Lonchura striata: one gene and its partners. The protein of the gene in region 3 purifies or fractionates together with the protein of the main gene of each other region. This does not show direct contact. Links are inferred from orthologs where the notes say so. Each region holds a gene or a part of one and is shown on either strand. Other genes may lie near its edges.

Region 1 (3,743 bases), on a different chromosome or scaffold from region 3:
GCAGCTATCGCAGTAATAAACACTACTAGTGAGTCAAAATAATCATGACAACTCAACTGCCCACTTGAGTAGCTGAGCACAGCTGGTTCACTTAGAGCAAATTATTTGACATAGGTTTAATTAGAGTAATTATCAGTAGCAATGGGAAAAAGCAGTATTTTGTGTAGGGACCTACATGGGTTAAGTGTTCAAGAAAGATTAATAAAGCACTTGTAGCTAAAGGAAAACACCAGAAAAATGGGAAAATTACACACAGATGTATAAAGACATCAGATGGTCACAGGAAAAAATCCCATGTGTGGAACTAGCCCTTTTTCAAAGTTTCATCACTGAACAGGCATTTTAAAAGTGCTTAGGCTCACTTGATCATCTCATGGTAAAGCCATATAATGCAGCATGACAAATTTCCTTCATAAACACATGTGGTATGTTATGATAAATCCTGCTTAGACCGGACATAGTGGGGGAAAAACGGGGACTTGTGTTCACAGCCACATTCCCATCTCAAATACCAAAAGCAGAACTAAGTATTAATCCTCAGATAGTGGACAAAGAATTACATGAGAATAACAAACAAAAAAGAGAGATTCAAGTTGGTATGCCCCACATGAAAAGTACTAGTAACATCCTTCATGTGAAACAAATCCAGGCTTGGATCCAGCAACAGAAAGAACTCTGTATGAGTCCTAAGGCATATGTTTAAACTATAATGTCTGTATTTTAGCAGCTCATGAGCATGAGAATGCTCACACCAAACAACTCCGGTTTTAAAGGGATAGCTGCAACAGCGAGATTTAAAAAGCACAGCTTCTTGAGGCTCTGATACAACAGGCAGGTTTATAAAAATACACATATGCAGAGAAATGTTGTGGTAAACTCACTGGAAAGACAGTGTTTTGAAAAAGTGCTCCTTCCAGTACTTTTGGATATGCAGTGTTGTTAGAAAAAAGGCTCATCTCCCAAACTGTTCAGCACTGTATAGAGAAAGCAAAGTTTTCATAACCCTATCAGGCTTACCAGCTAAGGTACTGAACACACTCAATAAAAAAAGGAAAAATTTGAACTGAAAAGGTCAACTTGGAGGCTATATCACACTAAAAAGCTGGCCTCATATGGAATATTCCATGAATATGCCACTTTGGACAACTAGCTAATTGCTGTCTCTGGGAAGTTTGGTTTTAAGATTTTTCCACCTAGTAACAGTCAACCTACCTGCCCATAGTTGTCTATGCCAGTTACTAATCTATTTAAGTTTAATAAATCAAAAGCTGTCCTTAGGGACTGGCCAAGAGTCGTAAGCCCTTCAGCTTGAAGGTTTTTCAGTTCATTCATAAACGTTGCATGGTTTTCCTTCCAGCCAGCCTGCAAAGAGAAACGTGAAAAGATTTATTCCACAGATAGAAGTTTTGCTTTCTTGTTAGGCTACAAAGAGCCTTCCCTGCTGCATGCAGCTCACTACAAATGATAACAAAACACCTCAGAAGTTAGTAGTATTTGATGTTGCTCCAAAAAAGCCTAAAATGATGCATTTCTCTTAATCCTCAGAACTCCCATTTACCAAAGGCGCATTTTCACTTTGTTCCACAGGACAGTTCTCTGAGGACACCGGTGCCCAAACCTTAGAGTTATATACATCACCTTCCCAGAGCCCTGCCCAGATGGAAGCCAACTGCGCTGTGAAGCGACCTCCAACAGGTTCACCGTCCTGTGTCATGTGGACCCACCGCCCCCTTCCCCCGCGTCGCCCCCGCCCTGCCGCGGCGGGGCCAGGGAAGTGCCGTCCCCTTCCGAGTCCGGGGCTCTCAGGGCTGAAGTCGGTCGTTCTCCCGGCTCGCCCCTTCCAAGCCGAACTCTCCTTGGAGTTGCTGTCACTTCTCCCAACTTGAATACATATCCCCCACAGTTCATTGCTGCTCGCACACACCGCACAGGGGAAAAGCGTCGGCCATGTTGATGTCAGCGCCGCCGCCGGAGCCCGTGTGTGCCGCGCTCCCCCGGACCGCCGGCAGCCGCGGCGAGGCGGGCGCGGGGCGGACGGGCCGGAAGGAGGCCGGGGAGCAGGGGGGTGAGCGGGGGTTACCTTGATAGCGTAGGGAGGCTCCTCGAAAGTGACCAGCATGTACCTGTCTCCCCTGCTGGCCGGGTCCCGGGCTCGGAGCTGCGGCGCGGGGGACAAAGCAGAGGGTGAGCCGAGAGGCGGCGCCGCCGCCGGAGCCCCCCGGCTCGGCCCGGCCCTCCTCTCCCTCCCGCACTCACACGCACTCGCTCGCTCCCGCCCTCGCCCCGCGCCCCCGGCCCAGGCAGCCCCCCGCTCCCTGCCGCCCCCTCCCCTCCCCGCGCAGCCACTCTCGCTCGCTTTCTCTCGCCTCCTCTCGCAAGGCAGAGCCCGGTACCTTCATGAAAGTCTCTACAGCGCCTTTGGCTATGTCCAGATAGGTGGTGCCCAGATGGGTGCGCTGGTTCATGGAGGCGGACGTGTCTATCAGGAAGAGTAAGATGGGCATAGTGCGGAGGGGCCGGCGGCCGGACGGCTACATGGACAGCGGGCGGGGGGCTGAGGGGAGAACCGTCAGGGGAGGCGAGGGGAAGGAGGGGAGAGAGAGAAGACGGGGGACGGGAGAGGAGTAAGTGGCTGTGAGTGCTGTGCACGGGGAAGGGCGCCTCCCCGCTGCCCCTCTGCCGAGGCGGGGGGGAAGGGGGGGCAGCCCTGCCTGCCCTGCCCTCCTTTGTGTGAGGGGCCTGCTCAGCCCAACACAGGCTGGTTTATGAGGGAGAGGCGGATAGGGCTGCGCTGCTGGCTAACCTTCCCCCCACCACCACCTTCCTCCTCCACCGCCCGCCCTCCCCTCCCCCTGTTGATGTTACTCAGAAGTTTCAGGCGGAGCAGCCGCAGCCCCGCTACCCCAGCACTTTCTCGCTCTGACTGAGGCGCTTCCTCGCTCGCCTCCCGCTTTTAAGGCAGCCTGGGTAGGTCGGCCCCGCCCCCAAGGACACGTCCCCGTCCCACGTGACTGTCTCCCAGCTCCACCATAGGGACCCTGTAGCCGCTCATTAGCATATTCAAATCGGAGGGGCGGGGCGGCCGCAGCCGGCGGGGGCGCGCAGGCGCAGCCGCGGGCGGGGGGGCGGCCGGGGGACACGGGGCAGGGCGCGCTGGTGCGCGGCCCCGTGGGTGCGCTGCGGGCGCCGGGCATGCGGAGGGGCAGCGCGGGAGGGACCCGCGGGGAGAGGGATCTGACGCCGCCGCCCCTCTCGCTGAGCTATTTCGAGGGCTGCGGGGTGACGCGTCCCTCGGGAGCAGCGCCCTGCCCGACCCGCCCGCTCGGGGAGGGCGGGGGTGTCCCCCGGGGAGCGCCGGGGCGGTAACTCCGGCGCTGGCGGCTTGTCGCCGCCGGGAACGGCGGGTGAGTCACGGGGGTGGGAAGGAAGGAGGGAGGGGAGAGGGCGGGCACCGCCCCCCGCCCCGTCTCCGGGCGCCGCCGGTCTCCTTGGGGCTGCGGCAGGTCCCCGGCTGCCCCCGCCGCGGGTGCTGCCCCTGGGCGGGACGGGGCAGTGCCTTGGGGCTCCGGGACAGCGGGGCAGCAGCCGGGTGCTCGGCAGTGCCTCCGGTCCGCGGAGCCCCGCCGGCGCCGCGGGAGCGGGGGATCGCTCCTCAAGGGAACTTCGGCTCCTGGCAGACAGCACGGGGGTCGCCTGGCTTGTCCACTGGGTTTAGGGTGGAGAAGACGGTCTGGTACCATTTA
Region 2 (3,743 bases), on a different chromosome or scaffold from region 3:
AAACCACCTCGTACCTGGTCAAATCTTGTAGCAAAGAGATTGAGAGAGGTCACTATTCCGCCGTTTGGGCCCAGCCCATATCTGATGCTTCATTTAGGAAAGCAAATGGTTACGCAGACCCCAGAGGTCATCTTTGTCAGCTCTGACTACAGATGCACTCTGGATATCTTGAGATCAAGGGACAACAGCCGCGATACACGATTAATACACGTCTATAAAGTCATTCAGCAGGCTAACAAATCCACTCTTACCCAAACACATGCAATTGGCAGAAGGAAGAGGGGCTACGTGGCTTCTTCTTGCTATTTGTGCTTTAACTGCACAAGAACCAGCACTGACTCATAACACACAGTTTTCTCTATCACCACTCTCAATATCCAAACATCCTCCTCAAGCTCTTATTAACAAGGCACAGACACTCCAGTAATGGCTAACATATGCAGTGAAGCAAATAATGCACTTACATATTAATTTGAAACTTATATTTAGGATTTTCTGCTGGTAACCCCAAATCAAACAACAGCCAAAATCAAGAATCCCCCATCACCTTTATTCTTGTCTAAAATATTAAATTTAAGAGTCATACTTGCAAGTTAAAACCAAAGACTATGTATTGCCTCATCTGCACAAGCTATTACATAAGCGACCAAAGACCTCCACAGCCCTCAGGAAGTGCAGCCACTTTAGCATAATGTTACTGCACTACAGTCAGCAACACTGTGAGTGAGAGCAAACACTCCCATGTCTCTGAGATTCAGAGAGACAACAATGCTTTGATTATGGCCAAATGGAGAAATAGTTTGCTTCATCAGGCAAGTAGGAATTTTCATTCCTTGCCTAGAGGCAAGTAGGAATTTTCATTGTCATGGTTATGACAAATAAAATTAGACTAGATAAAACATGGGGAAAAGGCTGCCGGCTTAAAAAAAAAAAAAAAAAAAAAAAAAAGCAAAACAAAACCAACCAACCAAAACCAAAACAGAAAAACAAACAACCCCCTCCCTCAAAAAACCCACCATAAAAGACCAGAAAAAAAAAAAACTATTTATTGCTTGTAAAAATTTACTGTTAGGCAAAATCATTTTTAGCACAGGAGATCAGCTAAGTGCCAAATCTCGTAGAACACACATTCCTAATATCACATGCAAGAAATACACAATCAAAACCTCTTGATCTTCATGCAACACTCTGCATTGCTGCGATCCCACCCACTTCCTGCCCCTTCACCACAGTGTTCACGCAACAGATTATTTTCAAAAACTTAAAATTTCAAATATCATTATTCAGACAAAAAAAAAGGATACTGTTTCATGACTTCTTTGTACTTCACAGTGTCCCTGATATCTGGGGGAGAAAGGCATACAAACAGTTTTCTAACCCCCAGCTGGCCACCATTCAGCTAACAAAGCACATCTCCCAATCTGTCTTACTAGAGATCCAGCACTGGAACAGACACTCCAGTCATTCCTCTGACAGCAGTGAAACAACTTGTGAACCCACACTGTCTTTCTTATCCTTTGGAAAGGTTGGCTGCCATCCTTCACAGAGGGTAAGAGACAGGATTCTCACAAAACTAGGGACTGGTACGCTCTTTGGAACAGCTAAACCTAAATCTGTTCTAGTGCTAAAATGTTTTCTTTAAAATTCGTGTCTTTTAAAGTGCTTTAAAGCTCTTTGTTGATAGCATATTTGTATGGGGGGAACCAAATCAAATCTGCTAATCCTTTCATTACTGATAAAAAACAGCCTCCAGAACTCAAATACCACCAATCACATCAGAAGACATAAAAAGGTACAGATGCATTGGATGAATGGCTTTGGTTCTAAAAATAGTCATATTAACCACTATTTAAAGCAAATACCTATAACTTTAAAAAATAGTCCTTTTTTTATTAGAGCTTGGGCTCTTTTAAGGGAACACAAGCAGCCCAGCTTCTATTCTCTCACGTATTCGCTCCCGCGGAACACATGGAAAGCACACTCCGCGACCCGGCTGGGTCTCTGTTGAAGGCCCTGTTTCCTACTGCGGACCCCAGGCCGCTCCTTCGGCCCGGGCCCGCCGTCCCGCAGCACTTACCGATGTTGGCGGGGAAGGGCAGGCTGTGCACGGCAGGGTCCAGGTTGATCACGTACGGGGGGCAGCGCTGCCCGTGCAGGTGGGCGGCCAGGCGCTGCGGAGACACGGGAATGCGTCAGCCCCGCTGGACACAGGGAGCCCCAGGGGCACGGGCAGCCCCACTGGGCACGGGCAGCCCCGGGGGCAGCCGGCGACTCCCCACGGCCCCTCGCGACTCCCGCAGCCTCTCACCTGCACGAAGGTGGTTTTTCCGGAGCCGGCCATACCCAGCACTAGTACACACACCGGGGCAGCGGCCACGACCGTTCCTCCCGCCGCCGCTGCCATATTCCCAGAGCTCACTTGTCCTTCCGGGGCGGGGGGCGGCCGCAGCGCCGACGTGACACGCCCGGACCCGGTTGTGGCCCCGCTGCCGCCTGGGACGCTCCGCGGGCCCGCGCGGCCTTCTGGCGCTGCTCGACCCCGGGCGCGCCACGACAGCCGCAGCGCGGCGGGGCTGGAGGGGCCGGCCGGGAGCGGCGGCCGGGACTGCGCGGGCGGGCGCGGCGCTGACGTGGCGGCGGCACCGGCACCATGCGGGGCGGTAGTGGCGGCGGCTCGGTGAGTGCTCGCAGTCTTTTCACCGATGCCACCGGCGGCTGCCCCGGAGAGTCTAGCTGGTCCGCGGTCATCGCGAGATGGGTTCCGACGTCGGGATCGCGGGAGCGAGCCGGCTTCCCCGGGCCGCCGGCGGGGCTGTGCGGCCTGGCCCGGCGCGGTGAGCGGCCCTGAGCGGGCGGCGAGCAGGCTCGCTTCGGGCTCCCGGGGAGCTGCGCGGGAACCGTCCCGCTCCGCCCGAAGGCCAGGCCGTCCCCCGAGGCCTCGGGCCTGGCCCGGTTCGGTTCGGCCCGGAGCCGGGCAGGACGCCTGAGCGGGGCGCTGCTGGCGCCGGGGTGCGCTTTGTCCGGGATGCTGTAGTTGTTGGTAGATGTGCGGGTAGGAACGGGAACGCGGGGCTGGAACAGGGAGTTCCCCACAGGATCCAGAGCCTCCCGCTCCTCGCGGGGACAGTCGGGCCCGCAGGATGCCCGGTGTCCCTGCTGGCATCTTCATCACTCCAGCTTCTGTACCAGCTCCTCATCTCAGGGGGCTTCGGTGCTGTGCTTCTGCACTGTCTTGCTGAGCTGGATGCTGTCTCTAGCCCGTGTTCCAGCTCCAGCAGCAGACGTGTTCCGTCTCATCAGAATGGGCCGCAGTCCACGGGCAGACAGAATTCACCACTCCCGATTTTTTCAGGCTCTGGGCTGCTGTTTGACTTCTTCTCACCTGTGCAAGGAAGGTGACTTTTCTGTTTTCCTTGTGTCCAGCCGTTGGGCATTCCTGCATACATTAGGTCTCTGTTTTTTAAGTAGGAAGTAAAGTGTATAAAGGAAAAAAAAACCACAGAACTTAAGCACCAGTTTCTGTAGATGTTTCCTTTATAATTGCTGTTATTAACTTCTCAGTAAGTAAAGCCTGACAGATCGTTTTCACTCTCCTTTTTTATTACAGATCCTTAACTACTACCAGAGTTTTTCATAGTAATCCTCACTCTTAACGCAAATTTTTTTAGTTATGAAAACCCCATGAATCTTGATACACACACCATGTTTGTAATTTCAGTTCTTCTAATTGTAGATTAAGCCAG
Region 3 (3,743 bases):
AAAGAGACCTCTGAGATCATCACCACATTGACTAGACCATGGCACTGAGTGCCACATTCAGGCACAGTGACTCCATCATCTCCCTTGGCAATCCATTCTAATGTCTAATCACCCTTTTGGTGAAGAAATTCCTGCTAATGTCCAACCTCAAGCTGCCCTAGTGCATCTTAAGACTATGTCCTCTTCTGCCACTGGCTGCCTCGGAGAAGAGACTGCCTCCCACCTAGCTACAACTTCCTCTGGGTAGATGCAGGGAGTGGTAACATCTCCCAAACCTCCTTTTCTTTGTGTTAAACACTTCAGCCACTCCTCCCAGGTAATAATGTGAAGCACGGCACACTTCTGGAGCTTGCTGCCCACCATGGAGGTACTGCTTTGGTGACAGGTTCTCCTGCCGCAGGGGTGGCCAAGAGCAGCCTAGAGGCACATATCTCGCTTTTTTCTGCACACCCCGCATTCCCCATTACCCGGGCTACAAAGGGCCGAGCAGTGCCCTGACCTGGCCACGAGGACACGGTGGCCCTGTCGATGATGTCGGGGGCGCGGGACTTGCAGTAGTCGGAGCGCAGCAGGGTGTTGAAGAGCGTAGACTTGCCCGAGTTGGTGGCGCCCAGCAGGTAGACATCGCCGGCGCACTTCCAGGAGCGCTGCAGCCGGCTGACCAGCCCCTCCATGCCGTAGCCGGTCTTGGCGCTGACCAGGCGGATGTCCACCAGCGCGGCTCCCCGCAGCCCGGCCCGGGCACAGGCCGCCGCCACCCGCTGCCGCAGCCGCCCCAGGTGCCCGCGGCGGTCTGCGGGCAGCAGGTCCACTTTGTTGCCCACCACCAGCACGCCGGCGGCGGGCACATCGGGGCTCAGCAGCGCCGGCAGCTGCGGCAGCACGGGATCGGGCAGCTCCGTCACGTCGAGCACGTACAGCAGCAGCGGCCCGCGGCCGTGGCGCCGCGGGCGGCGCAGGGCGTTGCTCAGCACGCGGCGGTGCTCGGCGGGCGGCAGCTGCAGCGCCGGGGCGCCGCCGCCGTGCGCCAGCGCCCAGCACCGCCGGCACACGGCGCCGCGCAGTGCCGCGGGGCCCTCGCACAGCAGGTTGCGGTACCTCTCGGCCGGCACGAAGCCCGGCGCGCCGCCGTCCCCGCATTGCAGCTCGGCCCCGCAGCCCGAGCAGCTCACGCCGCTCGGCGGCACCGACGGGTCCGACAGGCTCGGCATCGCCACTGCCACTGCGCGCCGCGCCCGCCGCTCCCGCCGCGGCTTCAGCTCCCACTCCTGGCGCGGCGCCCTCTCAGCCGGGTCCCGCTCGTACTCGAGGAAGACGAAGCGCTCCTGCTCCGTGCCGTGGCCCGTCGCCGCCGCCCCGCACGGCCGCAGCGGGGCGCGGAGCGGAGCCAGGCGGGCAAGGCGGAACAGCCGCGCGGGGCCCAGGCGCAGCATGGCGGGGCTGCCTGACGTCGCGGGGCGCGCGGGCGCCTCGCGGGAGACGCGACGTGACGTCACGGGTCGCGCAGCCGCCGTCCCGCCGCCGCCGCCACCGGCCCGCGCCCGCCCCTCGCTCCGCCGCTCCCGCCGCCACCATGTACGACGCGGACGAAGGTGAGGGGTTTGTTTCCCTTTTCCTTCTCCTCTTCTTTCCCTCCCGCCCGGCCCTCCCAGGGATGGAGCCGGTGTCCGCGGGAGCCCGGAGATGGGAGATGCGGTGCCTCTCCCCGAGCCAGGCGCGGGGGGGACACGGCGGCGGTCGGAGCCTAACTCACACCTTGTACTTGCCCGCAGATATGCAATATGATGAGGACGATGATGAGATCACGCCCGACCTGTGGCAAGAAGCCTGCTGGATTGTTATTAGGTGACCTGCTAGAACTTGCTGTCCTTACCCCGCCAAAAGCTGTGCTCTCGGTCTGCAGGGACATCCAGCTAGCTCCCGGGAACACGCCTGGGAGCTGCGGTTTGGTTACGCTAAACTGTGTTGCAGCACCTTCAGAGCAGGAGGGCTTTTGGTAGAAACAAAAGGCTGTCGGCTGGGATTGAGAAATTCTGACCCCCAGCACACGCGTTTTTCAGTGAAGAAAGGGGTGGTTTTGGTTCCATATCAAGCACGTGGTTTTGCCCATTAATCTCACTGTTGTTGCTGGCATTAGGAAATCAGTACAGGGGTATTTTCACCATTTTTTCTAGCAAAATGTGAGCATCCAGAACCTGTGTGGCTGGAACACAGGGAATCCAAGTTAAAAGTTGAGTACTATTACTTGGAATTGGGGGCATCCTCCTAGTCTACTGCAGCTAGGAAAATTAGTTGAAGCAAAGTAATTCATAGTGTTACTGAAAACTTGACCTGGAGCCCTTTCAGTGAGGTTTGTCATCACGTTTCTCTTCCAATTTAAGGGAATTTTGAGGCACTCACCGTGCATGCAGTTGTGGCTTAGCTAAGAGGTGGCAGCAAGTCTTGTCACTCCAAAGTGTCTGTGTCTTCAGGCAGGGAGGGAATTATTAAACATTTGTGAGGAGCATCTGTGTTTGAATGCCTTGGGTTAAGTAAATATGGTTGATTCTGTACTATATCTCATGGCTTGTGGAGTTTTGGTTATAAATATGTTTTAAGTTTGTTGGTGTGTGAAGTATATTAATTAAATTAAGATTTCTTATTAACCTGGTTTTTTTTAATTTTTTTAGCTCCTATTTTGATGAAAAGGGTTTAGTCAGGCAACAGTTGGATTCCTTTGATGAGTTTATTCAGATGTCTGTGCAGAGAATTGTTGAAGATGCTCCACCAATTGATTTACAAGCTGAAGCCCAGCATGCCTCAGGAGAAGTGGAAGAGCCAGTAAGTGAAGAACCTTGGCAGAGATTATGTGTTTTTACAATTCAAAGTCATTTGACATCAATTCTGTTCAACTCCTGTCCTGCTGTTTGAGCTGAGAAATGACCAAGTGGCTGCTGTAGCTCATATTGTCAGTTCCTCTGCAAAACTGCATGGACAGAGATTTACTAGAGCAGGTCAGGTAGCCAAGAGCAAGCTGTGTTTTGGTGAGATTTTGGTTTTAAGCAGCTTTACTGTGGCAAGGCTTATAGCTGAAAACTTCTCTTTAGCTTTGACTCAGGTTAGGTCCGGGTTTTCAAAGCGTGCTGTTGTTCATGTTCTTCCCTTGGAACTATGACAATAGAGATTGTCTCTATTCTGCACCCCATGATGAGTGTGCTCCTCTACAATGAGTGTGCACCTTCTGCAGTGGCTCTGGTGCTTTCACCTGTATCCCTGGTGTAGTCTGATCCCTGTTCCATAAGTGCAGATGGTGATGAGCCATTGCCTTGCTGTTAGTCACTACCTTGATGCTTCCCTACAGGGATTTAAATGAACTCTAGGACACCAGAGCGTTGATTTTATTACATGGTTTTCCTGTTCCTTGGCATTTTTTGCCAGCAAACAACTGTCCTGTAGAGAATAAGTGAGATGTCTTTTGGTTTCTTTGCTAGGCAAATGGTTCATAAACATTTAGCTCACTAATTCTTAATATTTTCTCTGTTATTCTGTGTATATTATGGCAGAATTCTGTATTTGTGCAGTTCTGCAGCTGATGTTTGTGCTGTGCTTGGTCTCTGTTCAAATCAAAAGTATGGTTTGTGCTGGGCTTCTTTTTGCCCGAATGCTATTAATTTACTTTCTCAAGTAGTGTCTTATTCTCATTTATGATTTGCAAGTTTTTGGGAATAGGTTTAGAGATGAGAAAAAGAAAACCTGTTTTTTCC

What was found.
Region 1: the proteins of POLR2B (region 3) and INTS6 purify together in Homo sapiens (affinity purification with mass spectrometry; 3 studies listed by BioGRID and IntAct, with this or other methods). This does not show direct contact. The link is inferred for Lonchura striata from reciprocal best matches to the Homo sapiens genes POLR2B and INTS6.
Region 2: the proteins of POLR2B (region 3) and GPN1 purify together in Homo sapiens (affinity purification with mass spectrometry; 4 studies listed by BioGRID and IntAct, with this or other methods). This does not show direct contact. The link is inferred for Lonchura striata from reciprocal best matches to the Homo sapiens genes POLR2B and GPN1.

The regions. Positions count from the first base shown.
Region 1 is NC_134604.1:63,358,570-63,362,312, forward strand, and holds the start of INTS6 (integrator complex subunit 6), read right to left. Parts: upstream 2,919-3,743; 5' UTR 2,866-2,918; intron 2,803-2,865; exon of another isoform or gene 2,555-2,802; 5' UTR 2,505-2,554; coding exon 2,394-2,504; intron 2,159-2,393; coding exon 2,081-2,158; intron 1,363-2,080; coding exon 1,213-1,362; intron 1-1,212. UniProt on the Homo sapiens protein: Component of the integrator complex, a multiprotein complex that terminates RNA polymerase II (Pol II) transcription in the promoter-proximal region of genes.
Region 2 is NC_134605.1:113,918,943-113,922,685, reverse strand, and holds the start of GPN1 (GPN-loop GTPase 1), read right to left. Parts: upstream 2,427-3,743; 5' UTR 2,405-2,426; coding exon 2,309-2,404; intron 2,172-2,308; coding exon 2,078-2,171; intron 1,345-2,077; coding exon 1,305-1,344; intron 82-1,304; coding exon 15-81; intron 1-14. Other genes in the region: ZNF512 (zinc finger protein 512), read left to right, coding at 2,651-2,677. UniProt on the Homo sapiens protein: Small GTPase required for proper nuclear import of RNA polymerase II (RNAPII). May act at an RNAP assembly step prior to nuclear import.
Region 3 is NC_134606.1:58,663,287-58,667,029, reverse strand, and holds the start of POLR2B (DNA-directed RNA polymerase II subunit RPB2), read left to right. Parts: upstream 1-1,512; 5' UTR 1,513-1,573; coding exon 1,574-1,592; intron 1,593-1,772; coding exon 1,773-1,845; intron 1,846-2,669; coding exon 2,670-2,820; intron 2,821-3,743. Other genes in the region: NOA1 (nitric oxide-associated protein 1), read right to left, coding at 500-1,433. UniProt on the Homo sapiens protein: Catalytic core component of RNA polymerase II (Pol II), a DNA-dependent RNA polymerase which synthesizes mRNA precursors and many functional non-coding RNAs using the four ribonucleoside triphosphates as substrates.